4 linked regions of the Caenorhabditis elegans genome follow. The protein of the gene in region 2 interacts with the protein of the main gene of each other region in a pairwise test. Each region holds a gene or a part of one and is shown on either strand. Other genes may lie near its edges.

Evidence for each region.
Region 1: the proteins of ceh-18 (region 2) and zip-12 interact in a two-hybrid assay, tested with the Caenorhabditis elegans proteins (one large-scale study listed by BioGRID).
Region 3: the proteins of ceh-18 (region 2) and ing-3 interact in a two-hybrid assay, tested with the Caenorhabditis elegans proteins (one large-scale study listed by BioGRID).
Region 4: the proteins of ceh-18 (region 2) and nhr-67 interact in a two-hybrid assay, tested with the Caenorhabditis elegans proteins (one large-scale study listed by BioGRID).

Annotation. Positions count from the first base shown.
Region 1 is NC_003281.10:12,326,068-12,332,775, reverse strand, and holds zip-12 (BZIP domain-containing protein), read right to left. Parts: upstream 5,110-6,708; 5' UTR 4,830-5,109; coding exon of another isoform or gene 4,791-4,829; intron 3,313-4,790; 5' UTR 3,312-3,312; coding exon 2,964-3,311; intron 2,204-2,963; coding exon 1,904-2,203; intron 1,112-1,903; coding exon 959-1,111; intron 736-958; coding exon 514-735; 3' UTR 502-513; downstream 1-501.
Region 2 is NC_003284.9:3,854,795-3,859,589, forward strand, and holds the start of ceh-18 (Homeobox protein ceh-18), read right to left. Parts: upstream 3,004-4,795; 5' UTR 2,950-3,003; coding exon 2,904-2,949; intron 1,573-2,903; exon of another isoform or gene 1,572-1,572; coding exon 1,426-1,571; intron 1-1,425. UniProt on the Caenorhabditis elegans protein: Directs gonadal sheath cell differentiation and function. Also directs gonad migration and plays a role in specifying the differentiated phenotypes of epidermal cells during postembryonic development.
Region 3 is NC_003280.10:13,874,265-13,882,062, forward strand, and holds the start of ing-3 (Inhibitor of growth protein), read left to right. Parts: upstream 1-1,769; 5' UTR 1,770-1,797; coding exon 1,798-1,825; intron 1,826-1,891; coding exon 1,892-1,963; intron 1,964-2,016; coding exon 2,017-2,120; intron 2,121-3,505; coding exon 3,506-4,030; intron 4,031-5,162; coding exon 5,163-5,777; intron 5,778-7,798. Other genes in the region: ndub-8 (NADH dehydrogenase [ubiquinone] 1 beta subcomplex subunit 8, mitochondrial), read left to right, coding at 753-954.
Region 4 is NC_003282.8:11,168,083-11,175,324, forward strand, and holds nhr-67 (Nuclear hormone receptor family member nhr-67), read left to right. Parts: upstream 1-1,665; 5' UTR 1,666-1,751; coding exon 1,752-1,788; intron 1,789-3,078; coding exon 3,079-3,179; intron 3,180-3,794; coding exon 3,795-3,892; intron 3,893-3,989; coding exon 3,990-4,119; intron 4,120-4,327; exon of another isoform or gene 4,328-4,457; intron 4,458-5,066; coding exon 5,067-5,336; intron 5,337-5,386; coding exon 5,387-5,556; intron 5,557-5,967; coding exon 5,968-6,243; intron 6,244-6,291; coding exon 6,292-6,460; 3' UTR 6,461-6,709; downstream 6,710-7,242. UniProt on the Caenorhabditis elegans protein: Orphan nuclear receptor that binds DNA containing an extended core motif half-site sequence 5'-AAGTCA-3'.

The sequences.
Region 1 (6,708 bases), on a different chromosome or scaffold from region 2:
TTGCCAGAAAATTTCCATTCCGAAAAATTGCCGGTTCACCTAACTTGTCAGAAAATTTCCATTCCGAAAAATTGCCGGTTTGCCTAACTTGCCAGAAAATTCAATTATGGCAATGTTGCGATTATCGTTTTGAAATTCTGAAATTTCCAGAAAATAAACTTGCAAACCCACAACTTGCCGAAGTGTTTTTTTCCGGCAAATTGCCGATTTGCCGCACTTGCCGGAAATTTTCCTTTCCGTCAAATTGCCGAATTGCCGGAAATTTCAATTCCGGCAATTTGTCGATTTGCCGGAAATTTACAAATTCGGCAATTTGCTGGTTTGACAGAAAATTTCCATTCCGAAAAATTGCCGGTTTGCCTAACTTGTCAGAAAATATCCAGTCCGGCAAATTGCCGGTTCGCCGAACTTGCCGGAAATGTTCCATTCCGGCAAAAATATTTAGACTACAAGGAGAATAAATGAATAAGAACACATTTTCAAAAAGTACAACCATCGGATAAATTCCATAATTTATTTAACAACAGATTCTTTATCATCATTATCATTTTGTAACAAACACAAATTATCAGCAACAAAACGGCACAGCTCTTCCAAATCCAAAGTTTTATTGTTTTTAATTAGTTGATCTAACATGTCTTTAGGAATTGAGGTGACTAGGGGAGCAGCTTTTGGTACCGTTTGCTTAACATATTCGTCTGCCAACTCGGCAAGTTTTGTCTCACGATGATGCTCCTGTAATAAGTTATTTTTAAAAAAATATTCTGGAAAAATTTACAATTTTATTGGGAAATTCTAAAAAATGAACTAAAATTACATGATTCGTCTCGAAATAAAATTTTTTTCAACTAGAACTTTAGGCTAATTTAGGCCAATTTTTGAGCATTCTCCCCAATGTTTCAGTTAACGGGATTTTCTTCATTTTGACTGTTTCAGGTAAGAATTTATATAAACGAACATGTTCATGTGCAGATATTTGATACAAATGCTGTCTCCACTCCATTTGCTGCTTTGCTCGGATTTTTCGGGAACCTAAAGTCCCAATTACTCCGTTTTTTAGACGTAGGTCTTCAGCAGCTTTTTCAAATTCTTCTCGAGCACTGGCGAGCCTCTATAATTTGGTTAATAATTTTAAAATTGACTTTTCAAAAGAAAAAGTCGGAAATTCAGAAATTCCACAAAAAAAGTTTAAAAACGGGATTTACAAACTAAGGAGAACTCCCCGACCAATCACCATCTTTGAACTACGCCCACTCGATCTGATTGGTGGAAAAGTGGGCGGAGCAAATCGCTGATTGGTCGCAGTTCTCAGTTTTGCATTTTTGAAAAAACTCAAACTAAAGTAGGACTTTTTTATTTATTCGCTATTTTTTTGACAAATCGGCAAATCGGCAAATTGAAAAATTCCGGCAAATCGGCAAATTGAAAATTTTCGGCAAAACGGCAAATTGAAAAATTCCGGCAAACCGGCAAATTGAAAATTTCCGGCAAATCGGCAAATTGAAAACTTCCGGCAAATCGGCAAACTGATGGAATTGAAAATTTCCGGCAAATCGGCAAATTGCAGGAATTGAAAAATTTCCAGCAATTCGACAAATCAACAAATTGCCGGTATTGAAAGTTTCCGGCAAATCGGCATATTGCCGGAATTTATAATTTCTGGCAAATCGGAAAATTGCCGTTATTGAAAATTCCCGGCAAATCGGCAAATTGCCGGAATTGAAAAATTCCGGCAAATCGGTAAATTGAAAATTTCCGCAAATCGTCAAACTTCAGGAGTTGAAAATTTCCGGCAAATCGACAAATTGCCGGAATTGAAAATTTCTGGCAAATCGGCTAACCGGCAAAATAAATTTTCGGCAAATTGGTCACTTTTTTTTTGAAATTTAGAGAAAAAACCTACATGAAAATTCAAATTAACAGTTTCATCCTGTGCAAACATTTCAGCAAACTTCTTATTCAATTCCATTTTCTCATTTTCATATTCCAATTTCAGCCGTTCTACTCCAATTTCTGACATCATTTTTCTCAAATCCACTGCAAAATTCGCATTTTTCTCTTTTATCGCCGTTTTATTTTTGAGAAGTTGAATGCGTTTTTTGATTTGATTACTTCGAATTTCCGCATGCTTTCGTTGATCTTTTTTCTTTTGAACACACTTTCGGGCGTACTCACGGTTTTTGGCCATTTGACGGTGACGTTCCTGAATAATTTGGATTTAAAATTGATATTCTTGCCAAAGTTGAAATTTCCGGCAAATTGGCAAATTGCCGATATTGAAATTTCCAGCAAATCGGCATTTTTTGTCGAAAATCAAAATTCCGGCAAATCGGCAGTTTTTTGCCGAAAATCAAAATTCCGGCAGATCGGCAGTTTTATTGCGGAAAAGCAAAATTTCCGGCAAATCGGCATTTTTTTTTTGCTGAAAATCAAATTTTCCGGCAAATTTTTTTCGGGCAAAATTGGGAAATCGAAAAATTGCCGGAATTGAAAATTTCCGGCAAATCGGCAAATTGATGGAATTGAAAATTTCCGGCAAATCGGCAAAATCGATGGAATTGAAAATTTCCGGCAAATCGGTAAGTTTCAGGAATTGAAAACTTCCAGCAAATCGGCAAATCAGCAAACTGCCGGAATTTAAAGCTTCCGGCAAATCGGAAAATCGGTACATTTTCGGAATTGAAAACTTCCGGCAAACGGCAAATCGGCAGTTTTTTTTTGCCGGAAATCATAATTTTTTGCAAATCGGCAAACCATCAATTTGCCGATTTGCCAAATTCGTCGACAAAAAAATTTGCTGAGCCCCAATTGCTATCCTGATTTGAGTGAGGCTTTTCAGAAAAATTTGGAAATTATTTTCAGATATAACAAATCTTTTTCTACACTACAAAAAATAGGCGTTAGGCGGGCATGTACATCTAACCTAAATTTTGTACTAGAAGTTGTAAAAAATCCACACAAACCTGTTCTCTCTTGTCCATCTTACTCGGATCTTTATTCAATTTCTTAAATTCCTCTTCCCACTCCAAATCCCCATCTGTATCCATCTTTGAGTAGCCTTCATTGTAATTATTATCAGTGTACTCATCTTCTATATCATCCAACATCTTCGCCTCTACTTCTTGTTTTATCTCCACTGGACCCATGTTTTGCAGTTGGCTCATTAAAAAGTTGAATACAAAGTTCTGGGAGCCTGACGATTCATTGTTATCTGACGACTCGTGTTCCAGCTTTACCGAATTCTGGTTGTTTTGCGTGGAGTCAAAGTGTTTTAGAATCATGTCACGACTGCCACTTGTTTCGTTATTCATTCTGTAAAATTTGGAATTTTTTGGTCTTGTCTGAAACTTTCGGGCCAGGCCCAATTGTGCATTTTAAAAAATTTTTCGCATCGTCTTTCGCTTATTGGTTCCTCGTCTTTCGCTTATTGGTTCGCGACTGTTTTTGTAACGAACTTATGAGAAAGTTTGCTGATTCTTATCAAAACACTAATTTTGCCGATTTGCCAGAAATTTTGATTTTCGGCAAATTGCCGATTTGCCAGAAATTTTAAAAGGGATTTTTCAACATTAATGTAGGAAAAAAGTTTGCCGATTAAAATTGAAATTTTGAAATTTCCAAAAAAAAAGTGCAAAATCATAATTTGCCAAACATTTTCGGCAAAAGGCGTTTTTCCGGAAATTTCGGCAAATCGACAGTTTGCCGCTTTTCCGATTTGGCGGAAATTTTTAATTCCTGCAATTTGCGGATTTGCCCGATTTGCCGGAAATTTCAATTCCGGCAATTTACCGATCTTCCGGAAATTTTAATTCCGGCAATTTGCCGATTTTCCGGAAATTTTCAGTTCCGGCATTTTGCCGATTTGCCGGAAATTTTTAATTCCGGCAATTTACCGGTAATTTTTAGGTCCGGCAATTTGCCGATTTGTCCGATCATCCGGGAATTTTAATTCCGGCATTTTACCGATTTAAAGGAAATTTCAATTCCGGCAATTTTCCGATTTGCCGGAAATTTTAATTCCGGCAATTTGCCGATATGCCCGATTTGCCGGAAATAGTTAATTCCGGCAATTTGCCAATTTACCGGAATTTTTTAATTCCGGCAATTTACCGGTAATTTTTAGGTCCGGCAATTTGCCGATTTGTCCGATCATCCGGGAATTTTAATTCCGGCATTTTACCGATTTAAAGGAAATTTCAGTTTCGACATATTGCTGATTTTCCGGAAGTTTTCAATTCCGGCAATTTGCCGATATGCCCGATTTGCCGGAAATAGTTAATTCCGGCAATTTTCCGATTTGCCGGAAATTTTAATTCCGGCAATTTGCCGATATGCCCGATTTGCCGGAAATAGTTAATTCCGGCAATTTTCCGATTTGCCGGAAATTTTTAATTCCGGCAATTTGCCGATATGCCCGATTTGCCGGAAATAGTTAATTCCGGCAATTTGCCAATTTACCGGAAATTTTTAATTCCGGCAATTTGCCGATTTGCCGGTAATTTTTTATTCCGGCAAATTGCCGACTTGCCGATTTCGCCAAACGACAATTGCCACCCACCCTGTTTTGGACGCGAGATATACATACACGTCGCCAGCAACCGGCAATTGCCAAAGTTTCTGCAACCGGCAGCTTCTGGTTGCGGAAACTTCGGAACTTCGGCAATTTGGCCCCTAATGTAAGAGCCCTGATGCCCATCGTGAACTCACTGATGCATTCAGGAATCTACAGTAATCATCAAGGGCGGAGCTTGATCCTTCCATATTTTCCTAACCAAAATTTCAAAACATACCTATCCCCAGTTCCTTAGATTCAAAATCGTCGTTGTCAGTCAAAAAAAAGGCAAGAGACCAATGGTGGGGGAGACAGTGTGTGTGTGTGTGTGTGTGTGATAAGAGAACACAACTTCTTGCTAAGAAGAGTGAAGACAGTGAATGCATGATGTTTGCCTGCATCATGACATCGTTTGATTGTATTGAATAGAGGAGGAGGGCAGCATCAAAAAAATGAGAAATAGTCAGAGGAAAGATGTGAGAGCCTTAGAGAAAACAGAGTAGGAAATACTGTGCGACATACTTGGTATCTGAGCAGTGGTTGAGACAGTGGGGGGGGGGGGGGACAGTGAAGGTGATTAGCAAGATTGATAAGAGACTGTTGATGGGGGATGGGCACTGATTGCTGTAATTTCCAATACATCGCAATTGTACATTCGATGGATGTAAATGCAATTGACAGATTAATTAGGTATTATATTGTATAAAAATGGGTTGGAAAGGCATATCAAAAGCTGAAAAAAGGTATCTATAGAAACCCATTCCAAAACCAAATTTCAGAAGCATCACGTGGTGCTAGGCTGTCCCATTACGGTTTGATCTACAAAAAATGCGGGAATTTTTCGCCCAAAAATATGTGACGTCAGCACGTTCTTAACCATGCAAAATCAGTTGAGAACTCTGCGTCTCTTTCCCCGCAATTTTTGTAGATCAAACCGAAATGGGACGCAATGAAGCATTACAATGAAGCATTACAGCGAAAAATGAAAGATAAATCTTTCCAGGACATGTAGCAAAAGCGGTTCTGTGGCTCGAGAAAGGTTTGAAAAAATGAAGAACAATGTATTCTTGAGCAGAATCCATGTAATATTTTGGTAGTTGAAACCCTGATTTTAGAATTTATCCAAATGAATTCTCGGAATTTTCAGTTTTAATAATATAATTCATTAGATTCACAGTGAAGTGAAACCTGATTAAAAAAGGATTAAAGGACGAAATATAATTTTTGTCTGAAGCCTACAGGAAAAATGTTTCATTGTTGAAGTGGAAATTTTCATTTTCGACAATTTGCCGGTTTGCCGGAAATTTTTGTTTTAGACAAATTGCCGATTTGTCGGAAACGTTCAGTTCCGGCAATTTGCCGATTTGCCGGAAATTTTCAGTTACGACAATTTGCCGATTTTCCAGGAATTTTCAGTTCCGGCAATTTTCTGATTTGCCAAAAAAAAATTACGGCAATTTGCCGAGTTGCCATTTGCCGGATATCAGATTTGCCGGAAATTTTTAGAGGGGTTTTTTTAAAGACGGAAACACTTAAAACTGTGCCTTTTTGAAAAATTCGTTTCCTGTTATGTTTAGATATTTTCATAGAACTTGCTTTTTTATTTTGACAAAAATTTCCGGCTATTGCAGTTTTTCAATCCGGCAAATAGACGATTTGCCAATTTGCCGATATGCTGTAAATTTTCAAATCCGGCAATTGCCGTTTTTCTGGCCAATTCGGCAAAAAGACATTTTGCCGATTTGCCGATTTGCCGGAAATTTTTAATTCCAGCAACTTGCCGATTTGAAATGTGTTTTCCAAGTCTACATTTAATGATAAAGTATAGAAAAGTATTTGATTTGATTGAAAACAACTATAATTTGGATTGGAAAAACTGAAAAAGTGCTGAAAGTTTATCTGGAAGTTGAAACTGCTCGAAAAAAAATGTAAACCTTTAAAAAAATTTTCGAGGACTTTTCAGTTTTTTAAATTTAAAGGGTGAAGTAATCTTTAGTAGTAGGAAAACTAGTTTTCAAAATCTTTCGTTTTAATAGGAATTTCAATATTTTATAGATTGACCAACCTAAAAAAGCTTTTTTTCATCAAGTTTTATTATCATATTGCATCCAGTTTTCCAGTTTTTTTTCTAGAATTCACTAAATTTATCAAAAATA
Region 2 (4,795 bases):
CAGCCAACCTACTTTCTTTATTTCCAGAGGTCTCTAATTTTGAAAAAAAATTGAGGATGCTCAAAAATGTTCAGAGCTGCTGTAGTTTGATACAATTTCAATGTGAATATAGAAGTTATGAAAATTAATTACAAAAGTAAAGGAAAAAAGAACTGAAAATACATTCAAAAATTTTGTTTTTTAATTAAAAAAAAATGATAAAATGACCTGACTGAACCTTAATCCAAAATTAAAATACTACGAAACAAAAAATTTTTACAGCGTGGGAAAAGTTGGAAAACGTGAGAAGAAAAGGCTTGAAATTTAACAAATTTTAGTAATTAGAAAATACACTTTTGTGCTAAAAAGGTATGTATAAAAAGTGAAGCAGTTTATATACAGTGGCAGTCGCTGAAAATAGTTAGCGACCGTCATCTCAATACTGTTTTTTCCAAATATCTTTTCGGTCAAAAATGATAAGGAATATCTAGTTGAATCAATTTCTAAAGTTATTTTTACGATATTTTTTTAGTTATTTCTTTATGAAACGGTCATGAAAATAGACATTAAAAGTTCTAATAAATAAAATTTAGAACATTTATTCAAAAATGTTAATCTTACTGTTTCGAGCCCTTTCTTAAAATTAACTATGCAGAATTTCTAGATACAGAAGAGTAAAATAAAATAATATGTACACATTAACAATAACAGTAAAAATCTATGTTAAAAAATAAATTAAAAAAATACTTTTTAAATAAGACGATGGTTTAAATTTTTATCCATATTTGAAAATGTAATTTTTGAGACAGGCAACAAACTGGTTCGTTTGGAATTTTGCACTAAAAACTAAAAATTGTTTTTTCCCTAATAAGATGATTAAAGATAAAAAATAGGATCATGCCCAGAACAGTAAATTAACAGTTTAAATTAAAATTTTTATCTTGACGAATCACTAAATTTCCCAAGATTTCGCCTAAAAAAAGGACCAATATGAAAAGTTGAAAACACAGAACGACGCGGCTCGGCTTTCTCCTCTGCCTACTTTTAGTTTTGTCCTACATCATAAACAAGGGCCAACTCCCGAATCTGCTTATCTCGATACCCGCATCTCTTTTCCTTTTTAGCCACCCCTTTATTGCATTATCCCACACTTTCATTGCACTGCTTCATCTTGAGAAAGCAAATGGATGCGATGGGCTGGGATGGCCGAGTTGAATTGGAAAGGTCTGATTTTGGGTCCGATGAGAGTGGAAAAACATTACTGACTAATTTAGATGTGTGGTATTTTATAACTATTTTCATAGCTTTTTTAATCATTTTAGTATATATAAAGTTTTATGAAACAGCTTAAATTTTTTTTTTCACTGATTGCAAATAAAAACGTATTTGAGAAAAAAGGTAACTTTAAAAGCCAATTGGAAAGCAGTTTGTTTTCAAAAGACTCACCTCTTCTTCCTCTTCTTCGACCACTTCTTCTTCTGGGATTACTTCGTCTTCAGTGATGATCCTCTTCACCGGTCGACTTTTTCGTTTGCTGGCTCCCGACAAAGATGGACTGACACGTTCTGTGACAAGGCAACCACCATTGGCTTCTGAAAAATGTGCACAAGAAATATGGAGCAGCATCTAGTCAGAAAAGTTCCTTTTTTGAGCAATCAGAACATGTTATCTCATTTTCACGATGCCAATCAAATTCGCGCAGAAGTTTTTTTTTTCGAAAGCTAACATCAACGACGCTGAACTTGAGTTAATCTGTGTAAGTAGTGGAACGCGAAAATAAGGACACACGGAACGGTGATCAATAGATCAAGTTTTGATAGTACTTTCACTACTGTGATTTTTCAATGAAATGATAAACTTTTAATTGATAATTTGGAGTTACTTATTTTGTGTACATTGTTCTACAAATCAACTTACAGTATTTAATAACTGATCAACGTTTCAGTGAATGTAATTGTCAAATAACTCATTCTAACAATTTTTATAATACTCTAAGATGGCCGAATATCAAAATAGAACACTCCATAATTATTTTGGTGAAAATTCAAGAAAAACATTTGAGCATTGCTACACTTACATACATGTTTTCAAAATGTTAGGTCAAAACTAAATTTTAACCACTCTTTGACTGTAAAAAAATTGAAAATTCTTTCAAAATGTTTACTGTAAAATTTTTAGCGCTATGAAACCGCTTTTTAAGTGTAAATGAGTTTTGGAAAATGTTTACCGTCAAACTTTAAATTTTTACAATTTTTTTGAAAAGCTGGTAGCGTAACATTGGAAATTAATTTTTGTCTGAAGTGATTTCATATCGAGTATCCAAAATTTATTTTAATGTTTTGCAAGTATTATAATTTTTTGAATTTCTGACAATTTTCTATACAGAAAAATGCATTCAAAAATTCAAAAAAACTTTTGACCCTTATTTTCTCAAAAGTTATTTCTGGAGTTGTTAAAACTAAAGTTGATAATTTTGAGTTTGCTACTCCAAAAAATATTTAATTATTTTATACATACCATTTCGATTTTAGTATACACATGAATTAGTTTCTTAATGTACATATATTTCATTTTCAGGCTCAAAAAACAAGAAAAAACCCAACAAAACTGTTTTGCTCAAAAGTGCAAAAAGTTTCACTTTTTCATCAAAAAACCCATACAATTTTTGAAAAACGCCTAATTTTTTTTTTTTTTTACACAAGTGAATTTGGATTTTAAAACTGCAAAAAAAGAGCATCTGACCAACATTTTTAAAAAATTGTTGCGTCCAGGTAGACAATCATCGCCTATAACATACCGTTGTCATTAGCTTTTCACGAAAATCAGTCAAAATGAATTATTACAGCAACGCGCTTGATTTGTGACCAGACTCCGAAGAGTCGACAATTAGAAAAAGAAACGGATATTGATAAAGCATCACCTACCGAATACTTCTGCGAGAAATTGAAACGTGTTCTCCAAGGTGTTCATATTTCTTGCATTGATGATATGTGTTGTGAGGATGATGATAGAGACTTTTTACGTCTGAAACAGAGACACTGTTGGATAAGACCGACAGAGAATGTGGTTTTGATAGATGAAAATTAAAAATAAATCGAAACTGTATAAGCTGGAAGGTGAATGAAGGTATGACGAATCAGAAAAGATTGACTGAGAAAAGAGAATCGAGATAAACAAAATGTAATATTCCGTCAATTGAGAAAAGAAAATGAAGAATGTGTTTCATGTGAGCAAATCGGCGGCATGGATCAAGCGAAACGCGTGGGGGCCACTCATTGCCGACGAGGGTGATCGCATCGGCGATTCAGGAAAATGAGCCACCCTAGAAGTTGTAATATTGGCATAAAATCAACCACTCTCGGGGTGGGGAGGAAAAGCCGAGCGGCACCTAACTAGCTGACAGCCAAGCGTTCTAGTGCGACTTGTGTCTCAGTATTTTTCAGCCAATTGTCGCATGCGCCTAATGATTCGATCTGATTTTTCTGCGGCTACTGCTGCATCGCGTTCAGCTCTTCTTGTTATGATAGCTCTCGACGAAAAATGTGGGAGAGGAAGAGAAAAATAAAAGAAATGAAGTGAATTTCGCATAGGACACTTTGTTTAAAACAATTTTCGAGTCCCTGTTTTTCGCATCACTTTTCTTCTATTATCTAAGTTATTCTAATATCTAGGAACGAAACTAGGGTAAAATCTATCGCGTCCTAATTTGAAATTTAAACTTCGATGTTGCCGAACTGTATGAGATCATAAAGAAAATTTGACTGATAAGCTTTGAATAACACATTAGAGTATTAAAAAACGCCAAATTTGCATATGATAAGAAGAGAAATTGGTTCTGTAGCTCCGAGAGTGCCTATGTTTGTCACTTACACATCATTTTCTGAAAGTATTTGCATTCTCACTGTTGAGAAAATTTCTAGTTGAAGCTGAAAAAACAGTTAGCTCTGTAAAAATGGAGAATGTGAAATATTCAAAAAAGATTCTTCGAAATACATCTTGGAGATAAGATGATATGATATCTTGTGTATGAGGCTCACTCTTCCCGGCCATTACACTACACATTCATTACCTAGTCTTTTGAGCACCACTTGGCTCATGAATTCGAGTCTTCACAAAATTACGTAGGATGACAGACAACACAACTGCTAACAAAAAAGACGACGCCCCGCCGGCTTGTTCGGCAGTCAGGCACCGAGGCATTTTTGATTATCAAAAGATTTTTGATGGATTTTATTGAGTGATTGATTGTGGGGGGATAAAATGTTGATTCGGGAGGTGTTGTTCTGTTTGGCAAGAAAGAGACAAAGAATTGGGAAGGAAAAAGGGATAAGACGGAGAATAGGTAGTAGTATGAATGAAACATGGAGAAACAGATGCGATATCGAGAGGTCATCAGCTTAACGAAATGAGCATTGACACATGAGCCCTAAAGTTGAGGCAATTCGAAACGTGATGTACTTCTCTTGATTATCTATTATCTTTTCCTACAAAGTCCCCATTCCTTCAAAAGCTCCATTATCTTTTTTTGTTTTCAGCTGTACTGTAAAACGAGGAAATGTGGATGATCGCACTGGTCGGATTCATGTTTAGCCAGTAAAAGGCAAAAAGGCATTGCGGCGGCCAGATCTGTGGGCAAAACCGCGCAGTTGTTCAAATATGCATATTAGATGGCGTCGATTTGAAACGACGGTGCTTCTAGCGCTGCTCCTGCCCTGCTGACACTCTGGATATACGACATTTGCCTATGCAAGCGAAAGAATGCCGTTTGGCCGGCTCCCCCCAAAAAGCCAAATGGCTCTATGAATAATCACAATGA
Region 3 (7,798 bases), on a different chromosome or scaffold from region 2:
GGGCAGTTTTTTCCATAATTTTTCACTATTTTTAGGTAAAAATTCGGAATTTCTGATTTTCAGCCAGTTTTTTTTTCATTATTTTCTCCGATTTTCTAATAAAAAAGCGAATTTTTCGCTGAAAAATGCGAATTTTAGTCCAATTTTCTGATAAAAATCCGAAAATTCGCAGATTTTTCGGGTAATTTCGCCCTAAAACTTAAGTTTTTCATAATTTTCCCCGATTTTCTGATAAAACTCCGAATTTTTTCCCTTAAAAAAGTGGATTTTCGTATTTTTAGGCAGTTTTTTTCATAATTTTTTGAAAAAAAGAGGAATTTCTCGTATTTTGGCTAAAAAAATGACGAATTTTTTTTGATTTTCCTGAAATTTCATTGATTTTTTTTGAATTTCTCGTCGGATTTTCCACAGGTTTTTTAAATTTTTTAAAGGATTTTTCAGTTGATTTTCTGAGATTTTTTCACTAAATTGAGAATTTTCGTTCGATTTCCTGGAAATTTTTTTGACATTTTTCAAATTATTTACTGATTTTCTTGCCTCTTATTACGGGTTTTCACCGATTTTTAGCGAAAAAATCTACCGATTTTATCGATTTCGTATCTCTCGGATTTTCTTGAATTTTTGCAGCGATTTTTAGTATTTTCGGTGAAAAAAATGTGGATTTTCTAAATTTTGCGATTTTTTTTTAATTTTCGGATTTTTAGGCTGTTTTTTTTTGTTTTTTTTTTCTAATTAATTTATCCAATTTTCAGCTGGAACTCGATCGTTATGTGCCTCCGCGTGCTCGTACCGATGGCTCTCCTCGCCTGGTACTTTACCAACGAACATCCGAACGCGCTCCGTTGGAAGAATCCGGCAATGCCGAAGCAGTATTCATACGATTTCTACCGTGCCTACCCGTTCGACGATCCACGCAAATACCCAATTGTCAACTATTCGTTTGATTTGGAATAGAAAATTCCTTAGTTTCGGTTGTTTTTTTTTTGGTAGTTTTCTCCGTTTTCTCCTTTTTTGTACTATAAAATATTCGAATTTTATCATTTTTTTTTTTGCCTTTTTTTTGCCCTTTTTTCAGCGTTTTTAACGCTTTTATACCTATTAATTCGTTTTTTTTGTTGCTTAAAATTGCGCCTAATTGAAAAAAAAATTCCTAAATTTTATATGATTTTTTGAAAATTGAAAAAGTCTCAGTTTTCACCCCTAATTCCTATTTGAATTACCGCTAATTGGATTTGTTCGATGGAGCGCGCTTGCACGTTTTTAAGTTTATTTATTTTATTTTTTGTTATTTTCCACCGATTTTCAATTTTTTTTAGTTTTCGGTGTATTTTTACATGAATTTTAGAGAAAAAGTCAAAATAAATGCTAAATTTCGATTAAAAAGCACGCTTACAGGCGTAAAAATGACAAAATTAATTAATTTCACTGATTTCGGTCTGTACGCATGGTTTTTATTCGAAAATTTGCATTTATTTCGACTTTTTCTCTAAAATTCAAGCAAAAATACACCGAAAACATTAAAAATCGGTGGAAAATAACAAAAAATAAATAAATTTAGAAACGTGCAAGCGCGGCGCTCCAACGAACGAGTTCAATTGGCGGAAATTCAAATAGGAATTAGGGGTAAAAACTGAGATTTTTTCAATTTTCAAAAAATCATATAAAATTTAGAAATTTTTTTTTGAATTTGGCGTGTTTTAAAGCAATTTTCCCACTGGCGCTACGCTACTCCACTTTTAATTAATTAATTATTTGGAAAAAAAATTCAGAACTCGGCGCTGGACGCCCCCGCACAAAATGCTCTTCCTCGATGATTTTTTAGAAAGTAAGTGGTTTTTTTTGTTGCAAACTTTTCCCCTATAAAAACACCCAAATTTTCAACGTTTTCCAGTGCTCGATGAGCTGCCTGCCGAGCTGAAGGAGAGAAGCGATGAAATTCGGCGAATCGACAATGAAGTTGAATGTAAAATTTCGAAATTTTTCTGAATTTTTCCCTTCATTTTTTCGAATTTTTAGCCCGTCTAAACCGTAATCGAGAGGCGATCAACGATTTTTTCGAGAGAACCGGCGTAAATATGCCCGAGGAGCAGAGAAAGGAGCGCTGCAAGGTTTTGCAGGAGGTGAATTTCATGAAAATTCCTGGAACTCGAATTTGGCAGCAAATTGACACGAAAACGCAGGAAAAAGTTGATTTTTGCCACAAAAACGGCTAAAATTCGTGAAAAATGAGAAATTTCGCTATAAAACCCGTTTTTCTAGCTTTTTCGTGAAGAAAAATGAGAAAAAATGGGATTTTTTTGTACTTTGCCTGATGTCATTTTTTCACTTTTTAAGCTTTTTTTTCCCACAAAACACCAAAAGTGCTCAAAAATACTCAAAGTGAATGACGTCTAAAAACACTAAAATGAGGTCGAAAAACTCAAAAAGTTGCTCAAGATCCGACCAAGTTGTAACCTTTTCGGAAAAAAACCTAAAATTAGAATTTTGTCGTTTTTGATCGTTTTTTGAAGCTTTTTCTTCACAAAAATAGCTTAAAAACGCAAAAATTAGCCCAAAACGCTTATAAATCTCAAAATGCATCCAATTTTTCAAAATTTTCCGCTAAAAATAAAGGAAATACCGAAATTTTCAAAAAATGAGCATTTTTCCGCGAAAAAATCCCAAAATTCCGCTAATTTTTCAGAATTTCTCGGAAAAAAACGGTCGAAAAAATTCCTTTTTTCACTGAAAATCTTTTTTAAAAAACAGGACAAAAAATCGCAAAATTCAGACAATTTTTCGGAATTTCTTGTTAAAAAGTGAAAAAAAAGCTGAAAATTTAGCTTTTTTCACGAAAAAAAATTGAAAATTCAACTAATTTTTGGGAAAAAACATTTACATTTGCATTTTCTAATTTTTTTTTCGTGGTTTTCTAAAAAAAACTTTCAAAATCTCAAAATACAACCAATTTTGCCGAAATTCTTGGAAAAAAACCCTAAATTTGCATTTTCTATTAATTTTAAAAGCTTTCTCCCCCAAAACTACCTTATAATCCCAAAAAATCAGCCAATTTTTCTAATTTCTCTTTAAAAAAAAAGCTGAAAAATTAGCTTTTAAAAAAAAAAAAAGCTTAAAAATCCCAAAATGCCAATTTTCCAGATTTTCTCGCGTTGAAAGTGAAGGAAATGCCGAAATTATAAAAAAAAATTAGCTGTTTTCACAACAAAAAAAAAGTCGAAACCCCCGAAAAATCATAAAATCAACCAATTTTTCAGAATTTCTCTTTAAAAAGTAAAAAAAAGCTCAAAAATTTGCTTTTTTTTTTCAATAAAAATTTTAGAATTCAACCATTTTTTCAAAATTTCTCGTTAAAACGTTGAATAAGCTCAAAAAAAAGTTTTTATCACAAAAATAGCTGAAAAATGGCAAAATTTCTCTTAAAAAATGAAAAAAAAAGTTCAAAAATTTGCTTTTTCACAAAAAAAAAATTGAAAAAACCCAAAAAATTGCAACCAATTTTCTTCAGGAATTCTCCACAATCCGCGTGCTAGCTCAACGCAAATATCTAATCGCCGAAAAAATGCAAGAACTCCTCAAAAAGTACAAAGTTCACTTGGAAAAGGAGAAAACCACGTTCCAGTGTGAAATGGAGGCCGACAATTCAGGAGTGACCGAAATGATCGAAAAACGATATACCCAACACGTCGAATCTCTGCTCACAGCGAGAAAAGAACGAAAACGTCGTCATCGCGTGGGCGGTGGTGGTGGTGGTGGAGGATCGTCGTCGAGAGCATCGACAGTCGCTTCGGGACCACTTTTATCGAAAGAATCAAAGGACAAAATTCAGCGGATCCTTCAGGAAGGTGTTCGTCTTCGAATGGATCTTTCCGATGAGTCGGCACAATCGGCACTATCATCGGCTATACCATCACCAGCGCCACGTGGGCGCCCGCCAAAGATCGCAAAGGATCAGCTGTTGCTGTCGTCGGCGGCGATGGTGGTGGCCAGTGATGATTGTCTGACGCCAGTGCCACCAACACCGACGGCTAGGGTGAGGAGCTAGCTGAAAATTCGAGAAAATTCGCAAAATTTGGAGCCCACCTACCACGGCCTCCTGTTCAAAGAACTGGCGAAATTTCGAATTTTAGCTAAATTTTGAATTTTCAAATAATATTTTTCAAACATTTTTGAATTTCAGCCTAAAATCCGCAAAATTTGATCGTACAAAAACCTCACAAAATTGATAAAATTTTCCCGTTTTTTGGGTGTTGTTACAAGAAAAATTTGACGAAATTTCGAGTTTTAGCGTAATTCGTCTCTTTTCAACTATTTTTTTAGCCTAACCGCCACATTTTTTAATAAAATTTACGAAAATTGGCCGTTTTTGGGTCATTTTGGACCGTTTTCAGCTAAAAATTAACTTTTTGTTTCGAATTTTCAAAATTAAACGAAATTTGGCTCTTTACTGACTAATTTTTAAGCCAAACCGCCATGATTTTCTGGAAAATCAGCCTATTTACAGGAGGACTAACGGTTTATTGACCCAAATTTTGTGCTCAAATGAACGAATTTCGTAATGAAACTGCTCGAAAATGTATTTATGGCGGTTCAAAATTTCGAAAATGACACTGATTTTAGCTAAAATCTCGAATTTTGGTCATTTTTCCGTGTCACAGCTGTAGGAAGTTGGTTTTTTTTGGAATTATCATCCTTCATTGCATATTTTGGTAGTTTATCTCATTTAATTTCATTGATTATGGTAAATTTAAAGCCAATAGGTAACCAAAAATCATTAAAATTGGTCGCCTATAGGCTTTAAACAGACCTTAATAAACGAAATTAAATGAGATATTAAAACCAATATATGCAATCAAGAATGATATTTCCAAAAAAAGCCAACTTCGGACAGCCGAGACACGGAAAAATGACCAAAATTCGAGATTTTAACTCAAATCAGTGTAAGTTTTCGAAATTTTGAAGCGCCATAAAACATTTTTGAAGAATTTTTGAGCAATTTCAGTATGAAATTCGTTCATTTGAGCACAAAATTTGGGTCTATACGTTCCAAATCGTCCGAACCGTTAAATAGGCTGATTTTTCAGCCTAACCGCCATTATTTTCACGAAAATCAGTCGTTTTTGGAGTGAAAAAACTAAAAATTCTCTAATTTCTCCAAATTTCAGCGCCGCTCAAACACAAATGCTCTCCGCGGCACAGTCTCCATTCCAAGTGCTCTTTCATCAATGATGAATCGTGGTGAATCGACATCCCGCTTCTCACCGAATCCCTCCGAACGTAGTTGGTCAAACGCCGGAATCGACGAATCATCACCGACGCCGACGACAAGCCTACTGATGACACCGACGTTCTCCTCAGGACCGCATATCGTCGTTTCGCCGACGACTCCAGTTCTCCAGAATTCGGCGTTTGTGGTGTCTGAGAGCCGTCATGGTAGAACTCGGAAGCTGACCAGTAGAGTTCAGGAGATGTTTAAGGAGACTCTACAGCGGCAGCGGAATCATGGAAATTCAATTATAGCACTACAGGAGAGAATGAGTGCGGCGAATCTGGCGGCGGCGGCTCAGCACGCTCACGCTCCGACGAGCTCTTCACCACAATCACCACTTCCGGAGATTGAAGGAGCCGCCGAGGATGATGATGAGGAAGGACCGAGTTATCGGATTAAGCGGAGCCATCCGATGATGGCTCCGGGATCGGAGGATGAGGAGGATGAGATGCATTGGTGTTTTTGTAATGAGAAGAGCTATGGAGATATGGTTCAGTGTGATAATCGTCATGTTAGTGTGGGCTTTTTTAATGAAGGGAAAAATTGAATTTTTCTCCGAAAATTGAGCGAAAAATTCAAATTCCCAGCAGAAATAGTGCGAAAAAAAAATTAGATTTTTTTTTGTTGTTTTTTATTACCAAAAATTGATTAAAAAATGTGAATTTTCATCAGAAATAATGCAGAAAATTACTGTTTTTTTTTCTTCGAATAGTGCGAAAAATTGAGTTTCCATCCATTCAAAAAATCAAAAAATTTGGATTTTCACACGAGAAAACAGTGCGAAAAATATATAATTTCTACCTGAAAATTGCAAAATCATGTTGCTATATTTGCGGTGAAAATTCACTTTTTTGGTTAGTCAAAGATTATCAAAGATCTTATTAAAAAAAAAAAAAAAAATTTCCATTCAAAAAATCGAAAATTGAGCGAAAAATTCAAATTTCCAGCACAAAATCAATAATTCGTAATTTTTGATGAAAATTCATATTTTTTCATGGAAAATTGTACAAAAAATTCAAATTTCCACCAAAAATTGAGTTTAAAAAGTGAAATCAGAAATAATGCACCGAAAATTAAATTTTTGTTTCAAAAATAGTACGAAAAAAGTTAATTTTTAACCGAAAATTATTTTTTTTTTAATTTGAATTTCTACCACAACAAAATGCTTAAAAATTGTTAAATAGAGTGTTTCCTTGGAAAAAATCACAAAAATGAAGTTTTCACCAAAAAATTGCGAAAAATATATAATAATTTCTACCAGAAAATGCAAAATTTTGCTTTTTTTTACATTTTTATCGAAAAATTTCACGAACATTCAGAAAAATTGAATTTTCACCAAAAAATTGGAAAAAGTTGCAATTTATATTATTTTTAGGCTAAAATCAACAAAATTTCTGCGTTTTCAACGGTTTTACCAAAAAATGTGTTACAAAAATTCGAAATAGTTGAGCGAAAAAATTAATTTCCACCTAAAAATTGCAAAACTTTGCTATATTTTTGGTGAAAATTCGATTTTTTGTTGGTATTATTATCAAAAAATTTTACAAAAAAAATAGAATTTTCATTTTAAAAAAATCCCGAAAAATTAAAATTTCATCAGAAAAATATTTTTAAAAATTGATTTTCCACAAAAACATGCTCTTGAATTACAAAAGCAACTGAAATAATACGAAAAATTTAGATTTCGAAAATTAAATTGAATTTCCACTGTAAGTATTTCAAAAATTAGAAAAATTAAATGGAAACAAACACAAAAAAACATAAAACACGAAAACATGATTTTTAAAAAATTGTTTAAAATAATTACAATGTGGAAATTTCATTTTTCGCACTGTTTTCGGTGAAAACTCAGTTTTTTTCCACAAATATTACAAATTACATCCATCCATCTGAAATTTACACCAAAAACCTTTAAAACAAAATACAGAAAGTCTGAAAATTTCAACAAAAAATTCTAATATCTAAATTTAAAAAACATTTCTACCAAAAATCTGATAAACTGAATTTTCATCGAGACCATCACCACCAAAAAACTAATTTTTGACCAAATTGAGTGCGAAAAATCGAATTTCCATCAAAAATATTATAAAACATTTTGTTTTCTTCGAAAAGTAATGCAAAAAAGTAAATTTCCGCCACACAAATATATTTAAAAAAAGTTGAATTTTCATCAAAAACTACAAAAAATAGAATTTGCCTGGAAAATTCTAATTTTTTCGAAGAAAACAAAATGTTTTATAATATTCTTGATGGAAATTCGATTTTTCGCACTCAATTTGGTCAAAAATTAGTTTTTTGGTGATGGTCTCGATGAAAATTCAGTTTATAAGATTTTTGGTTGAAATGTAAATTTTTTATAGCACTTTTGTAGCTATATGTTTTTTAAATTTAGATTAGAATTTTTTGTTGAAATTTTGGAAAAAATTATGGGAAAATGGTAGATTTGTTTGTTTGTTTTTTTTTGTTGGAAAATAAAAAAAGTAATAAAAACCACAAAAATATCAGTAAGTTTCAACCTAGATTAAAAAAATA
Region 4 (7,242 bases), on a different chromosome or scaffold from region 2:
TCTGTCTATCTCTCTTCAACGACCTTTTCCTGCATCGTTCTCGATATTGCGTAAAATCCCAACACATTGTCTTACTCTTGGGTAAAATCGAGAAAAAAAAGTATTTTTGATTGCGTAAGCATCAAAATGAAATGCAGGTGTTCACCACTAAAATGAAATGGAGGTCATGTTCGTACCCTGTGGTACAAGCCACAGAGAGTTCAATTTATATGATGAGCATTTGAAGAATTTTATTAGGTTCTAAAATACCATGAGCCTGGCAGCTGGAAAAATATTTTACTGTTTTTTTTTTTGCTTAGAAACCTAATACTATAGACTACACTGAATTGGTTGTGACAACCTACTGAAGAACAAGAGGGGTAGAACATTAAATAACGAATCTAAGAATTTACAATCGGTGTTACAATGTTAAAGTTTTCAGCAACTAACTTCAAAGAAAATTAAAATTTTAATGAATCAAGGGATATTGGTTTTTTGGTTCGATTTTGTTCTGGCTCTCCGAGAGAGAACTATATGCCTGATACTGATATATAAAAAATAAAGTTGAAAATGAAGTTTGTAAAAAATACAGCTTGAAATTCGTCAGTTTTACGTTTGTGGTTCAAGCAAGTCTGGAACCTAGAGTTTCCCTAAAATAATATTTATATTTAATTTTTCACACGACCTGAAGTTTTCTCTCAAAACAGTCTACTACATATTTCACATAGAACCCCAGACTCCATCTAACTTTTTGCGGCAAAACTACCATTCCTCTGCTCAAAACTTTTGCTCCAATTCTTTTCATCATAAAGTCTTTACTGATGACAATGAATGGTCAAGTATTCTCAGGGATGTCGTCGGGTCTTTTGAGCTCTTTTGAGTCTTCCAAAACTCCTTCAACTTGTGCCTCCAAAAAGATTTGAGGAGGCATTCTGAAGAATGGGAGCAACAACGGCAAGAAGTGTGTGGTGATTGTGCGCGGGATGAAAAGAGAACAAAGTTTTTGGGATGAGGTGGATGCTCCGTGAGCAATAAAAGGATCCGACAGGAAGGGAGTTTTCAAGAGTAATATTGACTATATAGGGCAAATATAATAACATGACCAAGGATACAGAACTGTTTTCCGAAAAAACCAGAATCCCAGAAAAGAACCACTTCTTAATTGAGAAAGTTTCAAAATTTGTTCAAGTCAAACTGCAGATAAAATGTATTGAAATTAAATAAAAATTGAAAACTCCGAGTTAAAGTTAAATTAAAAGATGAGTAGAGTGTGGTCAATCATAGTGGTTGCTTGAAAACTTCACACACTAGTAAAGTTTACAGTGGTCTAGGTTTTCAGATTTATAGTTTTCCAAAATAAGTTAAACATTTCAACTACAAGAGCACCTCAGTTAGATTTTCTGTACTCTGAACAATGTTACTTGAGCTATTAACATAAAACTACCACTCAATTGAATAATTTGGCATTCACCTGGATACTATGAAAACAAAAAATTGAATATTTGAAAAACAGTACACTAGAAAAACTCTCAAAATCAATCAGGGCGTGGCTTATTGCATCGTCTACAGTATCCCTCAGAGTCGTTTCTCTTCGCTTTCTCTCCGTCGGCTGTCAGTGGTGGTCGCTAGCTCCGCCCATGATTTGACGACGTGACTCGCCTTCGCCTTTCCGACTGCCTCTCACTCTCGCCTTAAGAAGAGAGAATTTGTCTTTTGGGAATCTGTGTGCTCAATATTCCGGAATTCTTGAATTAATGAATCTGGCGCCAAGAATGATGACTGCGGTTTCACAGATGTCGGTTCCAAGCAGTAAGTCAATTTTAAAAAGTTAATCGTCAACATCTAGAATCAGAAGATGAAAACTTCTACTTCGAACTTTCTTGGAAAAATGAGCTTTCTTAAACTTCCAGGCTTTAGCTGTAGAAAGCTTTTTTCCAATTCCCAACTTCAAAAGAAACTCAGATTTTAAAATTGGGATCTTGAGCAATTAATAAACGTAGGATGAGTTGCCCGGTGGGCATACTTCACATTCTTAGCCACATAAAATTGTTATTTTCTCATTTTAATTTCAATTTCAGAGTAGATTATTATTAATTTGAAATATTTAGGGAAGAATTTCCTAAAAATGGGTTTGGAAGTGCATAATATCGAAAAAAAAAGTGGGAGCTTTTTTGGCAAGATACATACGTATAGGATTTTGATACCTTCACAAAATTTTGAAAACCCTATGAAATACTCCTGTTTTTTTTTAAATATTTTTTTACTACCCATTGTCTTCAAATTTAACAAAATCTGAACCTTGACTTCTTCCATGGGATAAATCCATTAATATACAAACTACAGTAAATCCATGTATCTTTATATATGAGTTCTAGAAGCCTTAGTGCAGATGGGTTACTGTAGTTGTACCTAAACTAGTTTGTGTGAATGAAGAAAGAAAATGAAGAAATGTCTAATGTGAATATCATAATTTGAATGCATATCAATTTCAGTGTGAGAAAAAATTTCTAACTGAAAAATTAAGACATTATTTCAGAACCCTGATTTCAGAACTAAAAAGTCACATAAAACTTTCATAAAAATTCCTTTTTTTTTCCTAATCTCCCCGGCACGAGAACTCCAATAAGTAAAATAGGAAGTCATTAAACATAGTGACTCAATATTATGGTAGAAATGATTAGGTGTGAATTATGAGTTAGGTGATGGAATTAGTACAAGAATGGAAGAGTTTCTGTGGGAGATGCAGGTGTTTCGGGTCAATTGTGACACGTGGCACCTGTGGATTTAGCACCATTTAGCTAGAACTAGAATTGATTTGAAAGGTCATGATGTTAAATAAAATTAATTTTTTAAAGTCATACGAACAACATCAAAACTAATACTCAATATCCAAGAAGTAGAAACTCAATTTGAAATATTGTTCACTTCTTGCCTTTTTCTTTCAACAAATCCATTTCCATTCTGCCTTCATTCTCTTTTCATATTCTATTAATTAGGCAGGCAAGAGACACAGGAAGTGCTGAATAATTGGAGTCTCTCCTTCTTGGCTTTCTTGATTTCCTCATTCTATTTCACACCTAAAAATGATTATTTCTTCAGGTCGAATTCTATTGGATGTTGATTGTAGAGTCTGTGAAGATCATTCGTCGGGGAAGCATTACAGTATTTTTTCCTGCGACGGGTGTGCTGGATTCTTTAAAGTAAGTTTTAATGTTTATTGAGCTCTCATTTTTTAGATAGCTTAAAATATTCGAATTTGAGAGTAAATTTTAGTGGAAAATTTTTAAAAAAGTATTATCTAGACGCGAAAGTTTCCCATTTTTGCTCTAAAAATACGGTAACCGGTCTCGATGTGAATTTTTTTTATTAAACGGGAAAAGGTATGTGCCTTTAAACTGTACTGTAATTATGTACTCTCGTTTCTGCCGAATTTTTCTCCTGATTTATTAAAAATGTATGTGTTACATCTGAATTTTATTAAAAAACATATATTTTTATCGAAAAACCATCCAAAATTCGACAGAAACAAATTTATTGAACTACAGTACGTTTTAAAAGCGCACACCTTGGTTAGACAAGGTACTAATTTTTGCTGAAACTAATTGTTATATTATTGAATTTCCGGATAGATAAAAATGTGTTAATCTTCAACAAAAAATGTCTACAATCATTTTGCAACATTAACTTTGTTCTGCTCCGATTATAATGTATGTCTAGGATTTGAGACCTCATGAAATATTTTTTCAATGTGAATTGACTTTCAAATTTCCTTAGCATAATTATCATTGAAATTGAACAACAATTCCAAATTTCAGCGTTCAATCCGTCGTCATCGTCAATACGTGTGCAAAAACAAAGGCAGTCCATCCGAAGGACAATGCAAAGTGGACAAAACACACCGCAACCAGTGCAGGTGAGTTCTTAACGGTCACAGATTAGTGTTACGATCCCCTTTTATGCTCTTTACGTTCGAGTCCATACATTGATTGATGACACTTGGAGAATTTCAGAGCTTGCCGACTAAGAAAGTGTCTGGAAATTGGGATGAACAAAGATGCTGTCCAACATGAGAGAGGGCCTCGTAACTCAAGTTTAAGACGACAACAGATGATGTTCGATCATGGATCCTCTCCTAATTCGGTATGTGTTTGTGGGAATCTTAAATTCGGATATGTTACAAGGACAAAATATTTAATAATTTTAATTAAATTTATCGATTCTAATTTAGTTTTGAATTCATAATGACTTTCAAAATAGTTCCATTTAAATCTCATGATTACCGATCTTTCTCTTTCTCACTCACAAAAATCAGTGACTAAAGTGAAGTGAAAAAAGGATTTTGAGTAGAATTAGTACAGTAATCCGCAGGTGGATTTTGGTCGAGTTGACACCGACGCGGCGGCGACGAAAAGTAAAAAAGGTGAAAAGTTGTCGGTTGCTGTACAAATCTACAGTACCACCTGACAGGTGATTTGTCACTCTTGAACATAGTCAAACATTTTACTGGCGAAGGGAACACCTAGGATATAGAGCATGGTCAGAAATATGATTGCAATGAATTGCAATTTTCTACAACACGGTAACTTGGTTGTTGCCGGAAGTGCTGAGTATTCGTTAAGTTGGCAATTTTTTGAATTGGCAATTATCGAAGAATTAAACAAAACATTTTAATTTTTTTGTGGTACGTTTTTCTCAAAACGTCAAATTTCAAAAAAATATCCTCTAATTATCAGTTAAACACCAAATACGTGCCAAAACCGTGACAGATTCTTTAAAAAAGAGCACCTTGAAAAATCAGCCAGTTTCAAAAACTTGTGAATATATGTGTATTCTGGGGCAGATGTTTTAATGTTTCTATTTGTATTCGGATACAAATTACTCAATAATATTGTGCTCTTATGGATCTTAAGTGGGGACAACATAGTGTCAAATGATTATGTTGCATAAGTACTTGTTAGGGACAGCTGATTGGAAGAATTAGCAAATATCGTATACAAGAGGAAATTATGTCTAAAATTTCTATAATTAACTTTCAGTGAAAAAGTTAATATTATTAAGTAGATGATTTTAATTTTCCTTCATTTCAGCCGGAAATGGGATCAGAAAGTGATGCAATAATTCTTCCGACATCATCAATGAATCGTGACACAGTGGCCGGTACTGCTGCTCGAATCTTTTTTGCACTTGTTGGATTTTGTCAGAATCCTTTGAATGGAGTACCTAAAGAACGGCAAATGACAATGTTTCAACAAAATTGGGCAGCACTTCTTGTTCTCCATGCAACTGAAACACGTGCCATAACTTCTAAGCAAATAAGGACTGAGACGATATCCGGTAGCTCAGAGCAAAGAAATGCGGTATGCAGTAATATGAATCTGAATATTTTGAAAAATTAATGAATGTTCAGGTTGCTAACGCGTTTGAAATAATTGAACGTTTACAATTGGATAATAGAGAATACATGATGTTGAAACATTTCACAATGTGGAGAGATACACCAAGTGCAATTCAAATTGTCTTTCAGTTAGCATCTATTCAGAATTTCACACATAGAACCGAACCGACGAGATATATCCAGTAAGTTCCTTTTTTTATTTTTTTTTTCAATTTTCTTATTTTTGGAATAATGTGAGACTTCACTATAAAGGTAAACGCTGTTTTTCTGAGTGGGTTGCAACGATCAAAGTTAATTAAATATTGTATTTGCTAGTTTGAAGGTTGCTAATTCTTTTTTAAAATTAATTAATTAACCAATTGAAAAAGTTCATTTATAGTTTTTGTACGATTATCCTATTCAAAAGTTCATTTTTCGGCTCAAAATATAAAAAATTCCACAATTAAAAAAGCAGTGTTTTTTGTTCTCACAAAAAATGCAAATTATTTCCTATTTGCTTAAAAAGCGAAATTGATTATTGAAAACTAATGAAAACTAAACGCTCTAGTACCATCTTTCCTTCTGAAAACTTCACAGTCTGAAACCTATTTCAGATGTATAAATGCAATTGCCGCTATTCCAACAACTTCAATAATTGATGTTCTATTCCGCCCTTCAATTGGATCAGCTTCAATGCCAAGACTTATTCAAGACATGTTCAAGCCACCACAACAACCCACTCCTACGTCACTGTTTCCAATGGCAAACTTCAATTTGAACTTTCTATTAAAACAAGAAAAAACCGAAACTGAAGAGGGTGAAGATATTGAAGAAGAGGATGATGCGACGAGTAGCAATCAATTTGATGAAAATTCTTCTACTGATGATAGGTATGATGAGCATTTATTAGTACAGTGGATTAACTGAGTCTGTTGCAGATCTGTCGGAGAACTGGATCCCGTTCAACTTTTCTTGGCTCTTAATTCCTCAACTCAGCCTTCATCGGCATCATCCCCTTCCTCTTCAAGACCACGTCATTCGATTCGATCAATAACTGAATTATTATCAATTCAAGAAGAAGAGAGTGTTAATGTTGAAGAGGTTTAGATAGTAAATTCATGTTTCATATACAGTAACTCAATTATTCTAAGTATCTCTTTTCATTGTCTTTTTCACTCCGTTTCTTGCCTCGCCCGGATTTTCATTGGATTTTGATTTATACTTTCAAAATTTCATTTTTCAATTGTAAATTTTTAATTTAAATTTAGAGAAAAAAAATGGTAAGCTTTAAAACTAATTTATTATTTTCTGATTTATATTGTGAACAGATGAATAAAACGTTTACAACAATGGCAATTGGCATACAAACATCATTAAAAAAAGGTGAATCATACAGTTTTGAGAAGACTACATATGATTCGAAACATAAAAAACAATAGAAATCAATAAATGATGGGAGAGAAACCGAGAGATTTATTGGAAAATGGAACGGTTGAATGTCATATTGTGTCATCGTCGTTTTCCTTGTTAATGGCCTCGTTTCTTATCATATCCATATCATTCTGATATTCCCATTCAACTAGATGACCAAATCATTAGCTGACTGATTTCCCCCTTTTTAATGATTTGTTTATGGTTTTGTCAATAGTTTGAACGCGTTACGTTTTTGTAGATAAACCTGATTATGCTAGAATATTTTTTATTGAGATTTATTGACTAATTTAAAGTTTTAAACTAACAGAACAACAACCAATATTATAAAGAAAATGCTTTAAACTCATTTTTGAACATCCAGAACATCCGAAAAATAACCAACATGGTTAAGATTTTTCAAAGTTTTTAGTCAAAGTTTCGGTATCTATTTGCAATTTTCAAAAAACATGGAATAT